4 linked regions of the Neurospora crassa OR74A genome follow. The main gene of each other region encodes a partner of the protein of the gene in region 4 in a complex. Links are inferred from orthologs where the notes say so. Each region holds a gene or a part of one and is shown on either strand. Other genes may lie near its edges. The genes, in order: NCU04155, NCU00812, NCU08026 and NCU03159.

Region 1 (3,927 bases), on a different chromosome or scaffold from region 4:
CAAAAGAGAGTATCTTTGTAGTAATGTTTTGACTACGTTACCGTAGATTGTGAATATAGGTATGGATATATCTTGATCTAACCCAAACTCCGGTCTAGCGTAGACGCCGCTTGTGCCGAGAAGCCTTATCTCTACTCTATATTCTATCCCATGGTTTCCAAAACCTTCGTAAGCAAAACACCCTTCGCGAAGGGGACAGTTCGTAAAGCACAATGCTTAGAACTTGCCCTTGAGCAAGTTGCTAATCATCTCGCGGCCGGTGATGACGGAGGTGCGCCAGAGGGTAGGGAAATCGAGCGTGCTGCTGAGGGTATCGGCATAACCGAAGAACAGCATGGGAGGGATCCAGCCGCGCGCATACTCGAGCGCGAAGCAGCTCTCGGGCATCCTGTACTGCTTGACGGTACCGCGGACGAGGTGGTGAACGGAACCGGGAGGGTAGACCTCAGGCTCGTACTCGCCGGGGACGTAGGCAGTCTGAGTGCCGGTGAGGATGTGGAAGTAGTCGTCGGCGGTGTGGCGGCCGGTGTGACCCTCAGTACCGATGGCAGTGCCTGTTGTGTGGAGTGTGCTGTTAGTGATGGGTCTGAAGAAGCGGGAAGCACAAGCTTGCGAAACGCGTGCTGGAGGATGGGGCTTACCAAAGATAATCAGGTACTCGGTGATGGAGGCGTGGATGATGTACATAGCACCCATGGCACCACCAGCGTTGTTGAACACCCACTCCTCATCGTTGTTGACGTAGGGCGCAACGCCGTTGCGGTCGTTCAGCTCGTCGACAATGTACTTGACAATAGCCTTGGTGTCGTTGCCGTGGGCGCTGATGGCGCGCTTGGACAGATCGTGAAGGTGCTCAGTATCGAAGACGTAGAAGGACTCGAGACGCTGCTCCAGGACGTAGGCGATAGGCGCAACTAGGGCGAACAAGATGGCGAAGAACTTGAGCCAGCCACCGATACTGCAGCGGCAGCGGCAGCTGCAGCGGCAAGACGAACCGGAGGAAGAGCGGCCGGAGCTAGAGCCAGAGCCGGACGGCTTGTTGCCGCCGGAGGAGGACTGCTTCTTGGGAGGCATTGTGACGGTTTGTGATTGACGAGACGGCACAATGTCGAGGAGGAGAAACAGGGGAGAGAGAAGACGGGAATCTTGAATTATAAAGAAGCAAAACAATGGCCACAGAGATTCCACCACCGACAGGGGGGTCCGTCAGCCCAACCTCAACAAACCTACCCACGGCAACCCCTGATTTCCTTGTGGAGGACCCTTGTGGTTGCAACATGCCCGCCCAGGCGGGTGTTGCGACTTCCGACACGTTCGATTTTGAGAGCTTTGACCAATAAGGACGCTCAATTGCGCGGATAGCGTTAAACCGATTTCTTGAAGGAGCCACCGCTACGACCAATTGGAGGCAGACACACCGGCAGGCTGGAGTGCATCCAGAAGCTCCGTAAAGCTCCCCTCGCCGGCAGGGCAGCTCAAGTTGCCCGGCAGCACTGTCGGTGCAAAGCACTCAGCGCGGCACTAACAGCGCTCTTGGCACTGACAGGGGTTTCTATTTTTTCGGTGCCCCTCCGTCATTGAGTCCCGTCCGCGGGCCCGGTCAATCACATTTCAATATTCCATCGAATGGACATTTACCTCCACGTACCAGAAGCTCCAATCTCAGTTGTTATCGCCGCGGGGTCCGTTTTGTCGCATCGTTATCTTTTTTTTGTTTAGTTTCCCTCTGCGCGTCGCACCGCGTCTCATACTATACCACTTTTACCCATTCGCAAACTTTTGTCATCGATAGCTCCATCAACCTAGAACGACCGACACAATGGCGAGCACATCCTCTTCCCCTTCGATGGCCATCCCCGGCCAATTCCTAGGCCCTGTCTCCAAGTTCCAACCCGGTCCTGGAACCCATATCCACGAGTCGAACCTCTACTCTTCGCTGCTCGGCGTCGTCAACATCACACAGCCCGCCAAGGCGCCTGGCCCTGCTAAGCGCTTGAACAAGATCATCAACACCCAGACCACGCCCGCCGAGCTACCGACCATCTCGGTATTGCGTTCAGCGGGTTCGTCAGACAAGCGCGAGGTGCTTCCTGAAGTGGGCAACATCGTGCTATGCCGGGTGATTCGCATCATGCCGCGCCAAGCCGTTGTGGCCATTCTAATTTGCGGCGATACTGTTTTGGAGGCCGAGTGGCAGGGCCTGATCAGAGTGCAGGACGTGAGAGCAACAGAGAAGGACAGGGTAAAGATCTACGACAGCTTCAGGCCTGGAGATATTGTCAGGGCCGAGGTGGTGAGTGCTCTTCTCCTCTCCCTTTCTGCCAGACATGGACTGAACACTTCCGCTAACGTGCTGCCACCCACTAGATTTCTCTTGGTGACCAAGCCAGCTACTACCTGTCGACAGCGCGTAACGAGCTCGGTGTCATCATGGCGACAAGCGAGGCCGGTAACACCATGTACCCCGTCAACTGGAAGGAATACAAGGACCCTGAGACGGGGCTAAGCGAACCCAGAAAGGTTGCGAAGCCCTACTGAAGTCGGCGGATGGAGTTTCGAAATGAGACATGAAAAAGATGCTTGAAAAGCAATGCATAGCGGAGTTACTAGCTTGAGGTACAGCGTGTTATCAAGGCGATACGGGCGTTAATCTGCTCGGAGAGCTCGCCGAGTAGTGAAAGCAGGTGCTCAATCAGTACCCGGTTGGGGACTTGCAAATGCGGCGGCACGTCGAATGTCGAGCTCTCACGGTCCGCCGGTCCATCATCGACACGGTCGGCCACTCGCATCACAAGCAAGCATCCCAGCGACAAATCCAAGCCCAGAGATGTCCTGGCCCCAGAGTTTCCGGCGGATACTCCAGGTACGCCAAGTTAGACCGCGCAGAACATGGTCTTGGGTGATAGGGCTCGCACTCAGAGAAGTATGGAGATGGGTACATGTCACGATTCACTCTTGACACAGCGGAACAACACAGTCATGATACAGCGCCTGTTTCAGGGATAACGAAGACGATGGCGAGTTAGTATGATCTTGTCACGTCGAGGAAAGATATAGTGACGCCAGACACGGCTACGCCTGTCATTGCATCAAGAAACTGGATACCCGTTTAAAATCTGCATAGAAGATACCAATAGCCTTCTTCATACGTACCTTACTATTCCCTTGCATACCTAGGTACATACCTCATCTGTTGTCTGTGCCGTCATCCGCCGCCTGGGCCAAACGTTAACGAGTGCTGTTTCTTTAAGGCGGCTCAAGGGCGGCTTGGCGTCTCGTATACCCCCCACATGGGCCTTGCATCGTGCATGCGGTACCTACATACCGCTGAAGATCATCGGAACGGCGGGGGGGCGTAGAACGGGGGAGGGCGGTAGATTCCCGTACGTCACCGAAACCCTGCGTGCCTAGAGGTACCTAGACACATTCATTCCACCCATTTCTTGTCCTCCCTTTTACAGCTTTGTCATTCTTCAAAAAAGGAGGAGGCAGAGTGGGAGCTCTGGCGGCGTGTTGGTTAGCGATCTCACTCAGCGCCCCCCAGATACACAAAACAAAGTCTAAGACGAAAACAACAAGCTCCCTGCCCCTGTTTCAACGGGAACCAGTCCATCCCCACCGCAACGGCGTCTCCATCTAGTTTTCTTGTTCCTGGCAGGAGTCCACTTCGTTCCCGAGAAGAAAATATCGAGATCAGACGAACCGCTTCAATCCATCATCTTTGATTTTCGTCCAATCCGACAAGACGCGCGAACTCTCCTTGTCGATATCATCTGTCCTAACGGGGCCCTGGTGAGCCATGTCAACCACCGCCACCATGACGATGACCGCCGCCCCCGTCATCGTCGAACCGGTCACCCAAACGTTATCTACCGCTCCTTGCTGCCCACAATGCGGTATCGATCTCGAGGGGACCCAACCCTTCTT
Region 2 (4,650 bases), about 2.3 Mb from region 4:
CCAAGGCCAGCGCACCGCCAGCGCAATTGTCGATGCTGTGGTCTCGCGCATCAACAATCACGTCGTGAAAGTCGAGGACAAGAACCTCGACAAGTTCCTGAGTGACAAGAACGAGACAGCCAAAGCGCTCCTCTTCACCGACAAGGGTACCACCTCCCCCTTGCTGAAGAGCGTCGCCATTGAATTCCTCGGTGTCATGCCCGTCGGTCAGGTGCGAAACACTCAGTCCAAGGCGGTATCCACATTCGGTGTCGACAAACTCCCTACTCTGATCTTGTTGCCTGGCGGTGATGCCCCTGGTATTGTGTACGACGGCGAGATCAACAAGGCCGCCATGGTGGAGTTCCTTTCCCAGGCGGCCCAGCCTAATCCGGACCCAGCACCGGCCAACGGCAAGACTAATGGCAAGACTAATGGCAAGACTAATGGCAAGGCTAATGGCAAGGCTAATGGTAAGGCCAACGGCAAGGCCAACGGTGGTGAAAAAAACGGAAAGCAAGACTCCAAGAAGGTCGCCTCCTCCGAAACCTCCTCTGAAACGTCCTCCGAAACCCCTGCCCCAACCCAAGAGATTCCCGTAATAATCCACACCGCCCTCCCCATCCCCTCCCTCAACACCCCCGAAAAGCTCGTCAAGGAATGCCTCACGTCCAAATCCAGCACCTGCCTTCTCGCGCTGGTATCCTCTTCCAACGAAAAAGCCCAAAAGGCCCTCACCCACCTCGCCGAAATAAAATTCAAATATGCCCTCGGCCAACACAAGCTCTTCCCCTTTTACGAGGTGCCCCTCGACACCAACCCCGCCGGCGCGTCCCTTCTCAAATCCCTTGGCCTCAAGGAGGATGCTGACATTGAACTCATCGTCATCAACGCCCGTCGCGGATGGTGGAGACGCTACGACGCTGTTGGTGAGGGAGATGATTTCTCGGATCATGACAAGGTGGAGGCGTGGATTGATGCGATTAGGTTGAGCGAGGGCACCAAGAAAAAGCTGCCGGAGGGTATTGTTGTTGAGGCTTCTTCGACGGAGGAGGAGGAGAAGAAGAAGGAAAAGAAAGAGTCTGGTAAGGCTGAGAAGGCTGCTTCAAAGGAGGGGGAGACGCCTGAGGCCCAGTCGAAGACGGCCAGTGGTCACGATGAGCTGTGAGAGATTGGTGAAAGCGTAGTTTGCTGTGACTTGTGTCAGTGAATGGCTGGTCAAAAGTTGAAGGTTTTTTGGTACCTTTCAGTTTCGGAGAACGCTTTCAAAAGTTGGCGCACGTTTAACAGAAACGACATGTTGCTCACCTGACCAAGAGCTGTACTTTTGATTACATTGATAGTCGTGAAATTCGTCAAATTCGTCATGTTGCCTATTCTTTTTTGCTCCAAGCCTTTGTAATGCTACCTACCGTACCATATCCGATTCTGTGACCCGGAGCCCAACCATTGATTCAGTAGTGTCCATTCAATCCAGTTCCATGTCATTCAACCCAACCCCTCTCTCGACCGTGCCCTCCTGTATCATCTTTATCCCCTTCTCTCTCACTACCCTGTCCAAGATCTCCCTCACCTGCTTACACCCGTCCACGCCCACGGCCAACATGCCCTCCAGGCGACTCACCTGCACTCTGCTCTCGCAGACCAGCACCGCCACGCGGTCGCTGTCGCCCAATGTGGCCACCGTCAGGCCGGGCAGCTCCTGCTCCTCCTGGTGGTTCATGTCCAGCAGCGGGTCGGCGCCCTCGTCGTTAGCCGCGTATGTAGACGTCGAGCCGGCCGTGCAGGCCGCGACGTAGTCTGTCATGGGAATGCCGGCGTCGACGCAGGCGAGCGTGGCGGCATTGATGAGGGCGGCCAGCAAAGAGCCGTCTTGCGAGAGCACGTGCAGGGAGATGTTGATGGTGGAGTGCGGGAAGAGGTGGGTGTGTAAGCTGGCAGCGAGGGCTTGAGATATCGTCGATTGGAGTTCGAGGATGTGCCTGTGATGATGGAAGAAGGAAGGATGACGGGTTAGTTATGCGAACAGTGACAGACGAATAGCCGTAGTTGACACTGGGGGGGAAACAACCCCTGGGTGTTTTGACTTACTTATCACCTCTCCCCCTTCGCTTACGGTCAACCGAGCTAAACCCGGCAATGACAATGTTTACAGCAACCTCGGCGTTCTTGGACTGACCACCGCCACCACCACCGCCCGACGTGGCTCCCCTCCGAGGACCGGGCTCGCTGGGTCCGTTAACGACACACATGACCTTGGTGTGGCCCATCTCGAGGTAACTGGAGCCATCGGCGGCGGCCTGGGTGCGGATCTGGGCATGGATGCGACGCAGCTCGTTCCACCTGCGGCCGTCGACGCGCAACAGCGCGAGGCTATATGCTGAAGTATCGAGAGGCATAGCGGTGTAGCTGGGTGGACAGGTGTTTCTTTCTATGTTCTGTTGTTCTAGCGTTTCACTCTACTCCTCTGGGTATCGTGGTTCGGGCTAATCTCTCTACCGGGCAGGTAGCGAGTACACCAAAGGTCGAGATTGGGGTACGGTATCCAGTAAGGATCAACAACAACAAACGCCCTGAGGGCCTGTCTGGGGAGCCGGACCTGAGTCGAGATTTTTTGCTCTTGCTTCCCCTGCTTAGTGTCCACCAAGCTCAGGTTGTGCTTGTAGTTGTACCCTAGTCGTTCTTCGAGTCGGGTCGGCCAAGCTCGATCTGGGAGATCGTGGTTAGTGCGTACAGTTTCGGCTCGATGGGACAGATTATTCGATGCGATATCGTGCCGCGAGCGACGCGCAAGCTCTCGGTACGTTGAGTCGGAGGAGAGAAAGGCTTGCGTAATGCGGAAGTGTCGGGGCCCCAGTTTCAGTGACTAAGTTATCGCGCAAAGTGGGAATTCGGAGCTTCCGGTCGACCAGTCTGAATAATCGACAGCAGGTTCTGGTGGACGGTTGTTGACTTTGAAATCGCCTTTTGCTAGGAATAAACGGACGTGGTTGGGCCAGGCCGAAAGTTTCCAATGGCAAGACAGGAAAAGTTTAGCTGGGCGGGGCGGGGCAAGATCCGCTGCGTCTCACGTTCGCGGGGTCGCCGTGCCGGGCTCCACCGCTCACCTCACTCGGCAGGACGGGAGTTCCATCCGCAGGGCTTCTGCTTAAGTTCTGCTTCGCTTCCATCAGGAGCTGAAAATGCATGCAAGTGGTCTGTGCATACCTCTACACTACTTGTAGGCAAGTTGTTTGCAGCTGCAGACAGAGGACGGGACGTGATGGCCCCGGAACATGGAATTGAAGGTTCCCGTCCATCTACTCTCCACGTGATCTTGACAGCCCCCATTTGACCTCTCCAGCTCATAGCGGTACAGTGAGTTGATGGCAAGATATCAATCGAATGCGCAATGTTGATGGGATCTTGATCGTGCATTGTGAGCAGGAGAGGGCCTGAAGTCTGGACTCAGGAGTGATCACTACTAGGTAGCCTACCTAGAGGTAGGTAGGCTACCTCTACTCAGGGGCACACTGTGGCAGTGGCAGTGACCCCTTGTCAACAGCAAGGAGGAAACCGGCATTCCTCCATTCCCCCCTTCGCTAAGTGAATACGGGACAACGGCCACCAAGATCATCTCATGGGTACCGCGATGCGCTGGGTGTTCGAAATGTCAATTGGTTTGTATTCTTGGAAGCCTCGGTTGAGCGCGTCGTCATCTTCTATCATCTCGGACCCAAGAGTGATCCGGTTCTAGAAGTCTGGAACGCTCGCCAATGCTCCTGGAGCTCCCTATCTGGGGTGCGAATCGATCAAGGTTCAAGAGGATTCCGTTTGGTGTTTTTGGGGAGACTTGTTCAACATCAAGTCTCTACACTAGGAGGCGCCGTCGGTCGGCGCATGATGCAGCCCTAGACAGCCGGCCCAGGCTAGCACGAATTGGCCTAGTCTATCGATATGACTGAACAGAGATCCACCATGAGCAAGTCGTCATCCAGTGACCACAATGTCTTTGTCAACTAAACAGTTTCATCAGGCGCGGTTTGTTTCTCGTTTCACTGTGAAAACCTCGAGGTGCGCGCTTACTCATTGAAGAATTACTGCGCTGGTGGCCCGACCAGCCCACGGGGTCCAATGGAACGGAGAAACGGGGCAATGGGGAAGTGCTGTGTTGCCCAGTCTACCAAGGAACGACCCGCCAACGCCAATTCGCATTACACTTTTAATCAAACTGTGGATGAACGAACCATGAATTAGCCAAGGGGGCTCGCTAACACATTTCGCGGCACTTAATCCGGACATGTGTTAGGGATCAAAGCTCTTTGGTTGGCATTGCCCCCGTTTCCGTTCATCTCGTTTCAGACCACCCGACCGCGACCAGGCTTCGAGAAACAGGGCTAGCGCTGCTATCCTTGACGCCAGAGCAACGGAACCTTCCCGCCCCCATGCTCACCTAATCTCCAGAACACCAGTCAATGCACGTGCGTCCTGTCTTGGGCCCCTTTGAGTGAAAACGAAGAGAAAGGAACTCAACGAATGGGGTCACGATGACGAGTCTATTGTCAGCGAAACAACAATGGCTTCTTTGACTTTGGCAAGCTGGACGTGACCTACCTATTCTTGCAGTGGGTCAAAGGTGCTGCATAATACAAACCTGGAAGTCAGCGTTACGCCTTTGTGCGTCGTCGAAGG
Region 3 (4,290 bases), on a different chromosome or scaffold from region 4:
CGAAATCAAGTCGGACAAGGCACAGCTGTCTCGGTTCGGCGAGGATTGCTCAAGTTGTCGTCGGTAATGGCGTAATAGGGGAATTAATGTTGTATGGACGACCGCATCGGAATTATGGCATCAACAACCTGGAACTGTTGCGGAATCGCAGTGGAGACGGAACGAATTGATCGACGGTACAAGCAAGGCTGGAAGGAGGAATTACCGGCCGCAAAACGAATGGACAAAACACTATGGAATAATTAAAAGTGTACAGTGTGGTAGGTAGGTAGGTAGGTAGGTAGGTAGGCAGCCGGGACCGTCGGAAGAAACGAGAGTAGGGGTGGTTTTGGGAAAAGTGAAATGACCAGGTGCGAAGCGAGAGAAAACTCGCCCGAAAGCTGGGTGAGGTGAGATTTTGGAGGATGACGGGAAAGATTGGATTGTCAGGTCGTTTTACAATTCCCGCCTGAGTGGACAATGTGGGCCGAACTGGGAAATGTCTGTAGTTTTTTGGAGGGACCGTGGGGGGGCAGATAAGGAGAAGTTCAGGGGAAAGAGGGGCCCGGGACCACGCCACGCCGGGGGGCGCCCCGTCGCTGAACGCGGCCGGCACTGTGCCAATATGTGAGTGGTGGTACCACGTCCGCCTTCGGATGCAGTGACTTCAGTTCCATTGGGTTTCCTTGGTGGCGTTCGTAATGCTGAAAGTTACGGACCAGAACGCCGGTAATAACGCAACGTTACTCGATCTTTGTGCAGATTATGTAGTTGATCATGTTATGTTACCTCCACCTCGAAATGTTGATAAAGATACGAGCTATTCACCACAGTCCCCTTCAGATAAAGTGATTAGATCGTGCCGGACACGAAAAGAAAGTAGTTCAGGTGTAGTGTATGTATGCCCTACGCAGTAATAGTGAAACCTCGGTTCATGATCAGCCACCACCTTTGGCCATGTCTGCCCTGCTTCGAACATGCCGTGCTGCTATGAACGAAACGATACGCGTAATCTCCCCACATCATGTTTCCAATTTCAGAAACAGACGATCATTGAGGCGAAGAACGTGGAAGCTTCTCATACCCCGCGGTTCATAATGTTTCGGCAGTCAACCTCAGAGGGTAGCTCTGCATACCAGCCACAACGCTTCTTGGACGTCATTCGTCCATCACACTGCGATCTTCCAGCTGAGTTTCAGCAAAAGAGCGCTCGCTCAACCTGTCAGACCTTGACAGGCATCTCGAAACTATTCCCGCCGGAAGTTGACCATTCCATTCTTGCAGTCAGCCGCCGAACCTCGGAACGCAGTTCTGTTGTCGCTGCTATCGATTGGCATCTTCCGTTACTTCTGCCCTACATATGGGCTATTGCGAAAGACCAAGTGGCTGGTAGCTCGACCTATTGCATCAGAAGCTGGTCTTCGGGTCGATAAATCGACCAAAATCGTAGAGGTACTCAAAGACCATGAACCGTCAGACCATAGAATTCCATGCGTTTTTCCCGTTGATGGACTTACAGGTTTCAATACGAGTATTTCCCATTCGCGCATAGCTAAAACAAATAATACATTGCCGCGCCGACCTCATGATCACCCAACGGTCTCGTTCAGGCAGTCCACGAGCACGCGGTTGGCGCTCTTGGAAGCCTGAATGCCCTTTTCAATCAGCTGCGTATAAACGTCCATATCGGACGCAGGTAGGTCACCCTTGAACCAGAGGTTGGTGACCTCTTGTCGTGTGGGAAGATATGCGATGCAGCACGCTGCAAGAACCTTCTCATGCTCAGAAGGAATCGGGTCGACAACTATGCTGGGAGCAGCGTCATTACCTGCGTCCTGTACCAACGCAGCAACACCTCCGGCCACAGTGTCGACGCAGTCAATGCCAGCGTCAGCAAGTGCAGCCGAGGCAACGGTGATGCAGCCACTCAAGGCATTCATGGTGTCCCAGGCCTCAATACCCTGGGCCTTGGAGGTCTCCCGATCTTGCTCTCCTTCAACAATGGAGATGATGATATCCACTCCACTCTTTGGCCAACGGTCAGCAATGATAGATCCCCGAAGAGCCGTCTCAAGGTGAGTGCCGAGATCTCTCTCGATCGGGTCACGAATGTAACCACGCCTTTGCTTGGTCGCAAAGGGTGCAAACTTGACATGGGTGGACAAGATGATGTGAGGAGAAAAAGGTGTTGACCTGGGCAAAGCTCTAGGTCCATGAACGCTGCAACTGAGCTTCAAGCCAGAGCCGCCGTTTCCAGACGACTCGATCTCTAGGTAAGCAGAGCCAGAGGCCGACGGTGTCACTCCCGTCTTGAGATCTAAACGTGAGGTTAGTCTGTGTCTGCGAAACAGGAGGGTTTGTCCTCGACGTGCTTACACATTTTGCGAATTACGTTCGCCGGGCGTGACCTTGTGACCTTGAAACCTTCGGATTGCTTCTCGGGTGCATCGTCATAGATGGGAGGGTTGGTAGTCCCAACCGGTCCGTTAATACGTCTTCTGTCGGCCATTTTGAAGCCAAGATACGAGGGCCGGAGATATGGTGGGCTTGGTGATTGCTGTGTTGTTTCCGATGCCCTTCTCTGGTCGAAGAATCCTGAGATAGGTGAAGAGGAAGAGACCTCGTCTGTGTATGGCTTTCCTTGTTTCACGGTTGGTAACTTCTGTTGGTACCTCTGTTGACTGTTGAAAACAAGACGTGAGAGTCGCCGTCTACACTGCAGTGGGTCCACTCTCAAATTCAAGTAGTTGTGGCGCAACCTCACATTCACTGTCGATTTTGATCAGTCAGCCACATGCCCCACCCAGAATTCCATGTCAAAGCCACCGATGGAGGAATTTTTTGCGCAGCTACAAAACTCTGCCGCCTTCAGTTCCAACCTCATCTTGAACTCTTCCACCAACCCACACCGTTCGCAACGGCAGGAACGGCTTGCGATTGTCGGCATTGGATCAATGCCTTCATTTGATATGGCCACTGTCTTTGGGGAGCAGCCATGATACCATGGTCTTACCGTGCTCATGGTCGCTTTGGTTGGGCAGCCTTCTGCGCTGGCGCAGCAATGGCATGGTCATGTCAACTGTCCAGGCATGCTCTTGGTTATTCTGCGATGGCGAACCCCATTGCTAGAGAGCATGTCCTGGCTGTCTGACATGGCCGACGTTGGTTCGCACGGATAGAGTAAGTTTATTTCCCCTTGCCTTTCACATCTCATGATGATCCCATAACCACAGTTCTCGCGATAATCTCTGAGCGATCGAACAAACATGCACTACCATCTGACTACTCCTTCAACACATCCTTCACTTGCAACTCATTTGGAGGAACCGTTGACTGACAATCAATAGTACAGACAAAGTTGTTATTGTCACCGTTGCTGTTCCACTCCGTTTTCTCAGTCTCTACCCACTAGGTAAGCATCACATTGTTTTCCTTTCTGTTTTCTTTCCCCCACCTGACATCATCACCCACCCGATTGTCCATGATGAAACAAAATATTTTCAGTTCTGCTTCTGAATAATAATGAGCGATAACCAATTATACCAAAACCTTCTGATATGGCAATCACCCCAACTCTTTCTTGCAACGACAGCCCTCACCACACATGCTGCGAGCAAGTTGGCTAACAAACTTCAAGTTATATAGGATCTGAAAACGATCTTGCGTCTAGTGGGAGAGTCGACATGCCCATCTGGTAGGTACTTTGCCTTTTTTTTTTTTCCTTTGTCCCATGCACAATGATGACAACAGTCTATCCATTCAACGATATGTACGGGCCGAGCCATCCATCCGCACTGGAGCGTCTTTCGGGGCGTGAGGACTAGTTGTGGTGTCTCCCTTCGGGGTGTCATTTGGCTTCCGTTGTCCGAGTCTCCTGCGCACCGTTTTGGGGCGTGGGAGGCTTGGGCCGGCTTTGTAGGGCTGAGTTAAAACGGCTTGTCTGATCTGTGTCGTCTTCGCCTTCTGCTCGATGCCGATTCGCGTATGACCTTGAACTGACCGGTCAGTAGTTGATGGCGTGAACGTTTCATACGTTTTGTTGCAACGCATCTTTGACGAGGTAAGGTTTGTGTTCATGACTCGACAACTCAATGACCCCAGTAAAATTGGATGTAGTTGAGGATCGACGGTGTGCCTGTCCTTGACATTTACATAGGGCTTCAAGATATCAGCAAGGATAGAACAATGAAAACAAGAGTTGCAAAATAGTTGATTATCTCCAATCAGACCCAAGATATTGCCCTTGATGATGTGCAGGAGAAGTCCAAACCCAGTAGAACGAATGACCGGACACTTGCCGCGACGTAAGCC
Region 4 (4,147 bases):
CCATGATGACGGCCTGGGCGTCTAACCTCCGCCCTCAGGTCACTACATCTTGTCTCGTTCTCGGGGCAGTGGGTGTATCCTTGGGGTTGAGTGTCCGCATACTGATGAGCCAAAACTCGAGCAAGAAGCCAATGATAATCCCATCGCCAAGAGTCACCCACCTTCCACAGTTGTCCAAAGACGAAACCTCCTTACTTCCATACCCCCCAGATGCTCTGCCAGGTGCAAGGGACGTTGAGACCCCATATGGAATCATCAAGGTATTCGAATGGGGGCCTGAAGACGGCGAGAAGGTTCTTCTATTACACGGCATCAGCACACCATGTTTAAGCTTGGGAATCCTTGGAGAGGCGCTCGTGGAAAAAGGTTATAGAGTCATGCTGTTTGACTTTTTCGGGCGCGGGTATTCCGATACTCCAACAGACATCCCCTTTGACATCCGGCTTTACTCGACTCAGATCCTCCTGGCTTTGGCATCTTCAAAACTACCATGGACCGGCGACAACGGATTCCACATGATTGGTTATTCCCTAGGCGGAGGCATCGCCGTCTCGTTCGCCAGATACTACTCGCACATGATCCGGTCCTTGGTACTCGTGGCAAGCGCAGGACTGATCCGGTCAGAACACGTGAGCCGAAGGAGCAGGATCCTTTACTCCGAAGGCCTGCTTCCCGAGAGGCTGCTCCGGTGGCTCATACGCCGACGGATCACTCCCCAGTCAGCGACAACGACATCCGAAGCCAAAATGGCTAGCGAGGTCGTGACCGCCACCAGCAACAGTGAACAGTCCACCAAGAAGCATCACAAAAACAGCGACGCCAGCGGCGGGGACTCATTCGACAACGCGGTTCTCTTGCCGCACAGGCCCAATAGCACAGTTTCCTCGGTGATGGCCTGGCAGGTCCAGCACCAGCAGGGATTCCTCACGGCTTTTATGAGCAGCATTCGGCATGCGCCCATTTACGAACAGCGGAAGGATTGGCTAAAGCTCGGTCAGCTTTTGGCTGCCAGGCGAAAGACTTCTTCTCCTGGTGCCGATGAGGGAGCCGGGGCAGAACCGTTGCCGGGACTTTTGGGTGGAAAACTCTTGCTGATTCTTGGCTCAACGGATCCGGTCATTGTCAAGGAGGAACTGATACACGACGCCACGTCAGTGTTGGGAGAAGATGGATTCAAGGCTGTTGTAATGGATGGTGGTCATGAAATCGTTATGACGAAGGGAAAAGAGGTGGCGGGCTTGGCGGCAGGTTTTTGGTCACGGAATTAGATAACTTGGTCGCAAGGGAACAACCATTGTATATGATGATATGATACGTAGGATATATGAGTTTCTGGATGTGACTGAAGATTTTAAGAATTATAAATTGTCGTGTTTCATTGTGCGAGTAAAAACAGAAGTGGTTCGAGCTGATGCAGTGAAACGACCAAGGGGACTTACTGATTGTTGGATTCATGTCCGCGGGTTACACCTGCAGGAAGTAGAAGTGCCCTGAAAGACCACGCTAGGTTGCTAATTCAGCGGCTGTCAGGCGGTTTCTCAGCGCGCACTTGCTTTGCATGGATCCAGCTGCCCAAAGCAGCCTGGTACAGGGGGGTGTATTGGTCGATCCTCGCTGCCGTGCAACCACAAACCCCACCAAGGCTGATAGCCTTTCAGGTTGGAGGAAATTTCCCAAACAACCTCCTCCAAAACAAATCGCAGCCCTCACCAAACAACGCCACTTCAAGCTTTGTACAGCCAGTTTGCAACTCGACAACGGTCGAATCTGACATATAACAAATCTGAATCACATCAGGCACCATAACAACCACAAGTCACCAAACATCAGAAACCAAGCCGTCACAATGGCCGCTACAGTTCCAGCTCCCTCGCTGAGCTTCTCGCGACCAACCTTCGCCAAGCTCTCGCCTCACCCGTACCTTCTCACGAACCTCACCGACCCCGAAAACCCCTGCCGTACCAACGGCCGCGCCCCACACGAGGCTCGCCCCGTTCACATCCACACCTCCTCGCTCGCCCACGCCAACGGTAGCGCACTTGTCCGCACCGGCGACACCACGGTCGTCTGCGGCGTGCGCGCCGAGATCCTTCCCGTCACCAACATCCCCCAGTACCGGCCGCGGGAGCCCTCGTACGGCGAAGAAGACAATGACGACAGCGCCGATGTCGATGAGCTAAAGGACTACGACCTCCTGGTTCCCAACATCGAGCTAGCCACCGGCTGCGCGCCGCAGTTCCTCCCCGGCGTGCCACCCACGACGCTGGCGCAGACGCTCAGCACGCGCATCTACTCGCTTCTGCACAGCTGCAAGGTGGTGGATCCCAAGGGCCTGAGGGTGTGGTACACTCCGCCTAAGGAGACCAGGGAGGAGGGCGCGATGGAGGTGGATGAGGCACAGGAAGAGGAAGAAGAGGAGGAGGAAAGGAAACCGGAGCTCAAGGCTTACTGGGTCCTCTATATCGACCTACTGTTCGTCTCCTTCGACGGAAACCCCTTTGACGCAGCCTGGACAGCCGTCATGGCGGCGCTGCGCGACACGAAGCTGCCGCAGGCGCGGTGGGATCCGGATCGCGAGGCGGTGGTGTGCTCGCGGAGCGAGGAGGCAAAGATGGCGCTGGATGTGCGTGGACTGCCGGTTGCCTGCACTGCGACGGTGTTCTTAGAGAAGGAGCACGGAGAGGACTCGGGCTCCTCGGCAGAGAGGAAAAGCAGGCACTGGATCCTGCTGGATCCGGATAGGTTGGAGGAGAGCTTGTGCAAGGAGACGGTCACCGTGGTGGTGGACTGCAGTGGGGAAGAGACGAAGGTGAAGAGCATTGAGAAGCATGGCGGTACGGTGATTGGAAGAGAGCTGATGAGGGGGTTCATTGGTGTTGCTGAGGGGAGGTGGCAAGAGGTGAAGGAGGCGTCGAAGTAGAGTGTCGGTCTATGGCAGACAGGCATCTCAGGCTTGTCCTTTTCACGAGTTTTCACATGAACGAGCGTCGAAATGAGAAGAGCAATGTAACGGATTTGATACCCTAGGATGTACGGTTGGACAAATGCACGCTCAGAGTGGTCTCGATTATCACCATTGGTCTTGAAACAACTTATGATACCTCGATAGCCGGTTTGCCACCAACACGATGTTCTGCCAACATGATCATGAAGGCAGACCTACGCAAAGTTCTCAAAGGCAATGTCAGGGGCGGCAAGAAAGTGAAAACGACAACATCAGAACGAACGCGCCTGTTCAGCAGACCATGGGCAGCAAGGAAAGTGGAAGAGAGCATATCCAGGGCGGTCAGGACAGTGGGTTCAGGGCTCGGTTACCCTCTTTCCTGTTACTATCAAGGGAAGGGAATATCTCTTGACTGGATGCAGAAGGGCCATGGCTATTCCTTCCTTGAGATCCCAACCCTGAGGAAGGAACGGCACTCTAACAAAGTGAGTACCTCAATGGTCACTGCATTTCATGAAGTATCATGCAATTGTATCGCACCTTCCATTTTCCAAATGACGATACAGCCAGTGGTGAAAAATTTTACTCTTCTGATATTGAGCCCTTCGCCCTTCTCATCATCCTCTCTCCCCCATCCACGCCTTCGATTCACCCGTCTTGCAGCGTTTCGGAGGCTCACTCAAAGAAGCCAACTATTCCAGCATACCTCCAGTCCGTGCCTGCGCTTGAAAGCCCAGCTGCCGTTCACTTTCAAGTCACGCCGACTCACGCCACCGTCGGTTAATATGTCAGATCCCTCTCAGCCGGCCATGTCCCCTCTGGCTACCTTCCACCCGTTTCCAAGGCTACCCTGGGAATTACGCAATGAGATCTGGAAGCAGTCTATCCGCCCACTTGACCGCCCTGGAGCCCATATCTTTTGCTTGGACCTGCGGGGGCCGGAAGATGTTACAGCAAAGGAATGTGACATTCAATGCCCTCGTATTCTTTCAGTGCCTTTACATTATGAGCGTCCGTGTCCGCCTTTGGACATCGGCGAGAAATTCATTCACATTTCAGTCCCGGCAAAGACCTTATCGTCCGGACCCGACGGTAATCCCTCAACGTATATGGTCGATGGCGGACTTTGGACCGCCTGCAAGGAGTCACGGGCAGTGATGGAATATACGTTCAACCACCAGAAGTGGGATCCGATAAGGAAGG

Evidence for each region.
Region 1: NCU03159 (region 4) and NCU04155 share a complex: the UniProt entries of both Schizosaccharomyces pombe proteins name them as parts of the RNA exosome complex. The link is inferred for Neurospora crassa OR74A from reciprocal best matches to the Schizosaccharomyces pombe genes rrp43 and csl4.
Region 2: NCU03159 (region 4) and NCU00812 share a complex: the UniProt entries of both Schizosaccharomyces pombe proteins name them as parts of the RNA exosome complex. The link is inferred for Neurospora crassa OR74A from reciprocal best matches to the Schizosaccharomyces pombe genes rrp43 and rrp41.
Region 3: NCU03159 (region 4) and NCU08026 share a complex: the UniProt entries of both Schizosaccharomyces pombe proteins name them as parts of the RNA exosome complex. The link is inferred for Neurospora crassa OR74A from reciprocal best matches to the Schizosaccharomyces pombe genes rrp43 and mtr3.

The regions. Positions count from the first base shown.
Region 1 is NC_026505.1:5,018,348-5,022,274, reverse strand, and holds NCU04155 (exosome component 1), read left to right. Parts: upstream 1-1,514; 5' UTR 1,515-1,819; coding exon 1,820-2,293; intron 2,294-2,367; coding exon 2,368-2,538; 3' UTR 2,539-3,169; downstream 3,170-3,927. Other genes in the region: C-8 sterol isomerase erg-1, read right to left, coding at 217-554, 642-1,074; NCU04154 (hypothetical protein), read left to right, coding at 3,800-3,927. UniProt on the Schizosaccharomyces pombe protein: Non-catalytic component of the RNA exosome complex which has 3'->5' exoribonuclease activity and participates in a multitude of cellular RNA processing and degradation events.
Region 2 is NC_026501.1:7,076,939-7,081,588, forward strand, and holds NCU00812 (exosome complex exonuclease RRP41), read right to left. Parts: upstream 2,986-4,650; 5' UTR 2,379-2,985; coding exon 2,071-2,378; intron 1,962-2,070; coding exon 1,448-1,961; 3' UTR 1,148-1,447; downstream 1-1,147. Other genes in the region: NCU00813 (disulfide isomerase), read left to right, coding at 1-1,147. UniProt on the Schizosaccharomyces pombe protein: Non-catalytic component of the RNA exosome complex which has 3'->5' exoribonuclease activity and participates in a multitude of cellular RNA processing and degradation events.
Region 3 is NC_026504.1:3,956,539-3,960,828, reverse strand, and holds NCU08026 (3' exoribonuclease), read right to left. Parts: upstream 2,682-4,290; 5' UTR 2,489-2,681; coding exon 2,356-2,488; intron 2,297-2,355; coding exon 1,569-2,296; 3' UTR 1,497-1,568; intron 1,435-1,496; 3' UTR 737-1,434; downstream 1-736. UniProt on the Schizosaccharomyces pombe protein: Non-catalytic component of the RNA exosome complex which has 3'->5' exoribonuclease activity and participates in a multitude of cellular RNA processing and degradation events.
Region 4 is NC_026501.1:4,751,682-4,755,828, forward strand, and holds NCU03159 (3' exoribonuclease), read left to right. Parts: upstream 1-1,649; 5' UTR 1,650-1,846; coding exon 1,847-2,920; 3' UTR 2,921-3,490; downstream 3,491-4,147. Other genes in the region: NCU03158 (alpha/beta hydrolase), read left to right, coding at 3-1,268; NCU03160 (hypothetical protein), read left to right, coding at 3,730-4,146. UniProt on the Schizosaccharomyces pombe protein: Non-catalytic component of the RNA exosome complex which has 3'->5' exoribonuclease activity and participates in a multitude of cellular RNA processing and degradation events.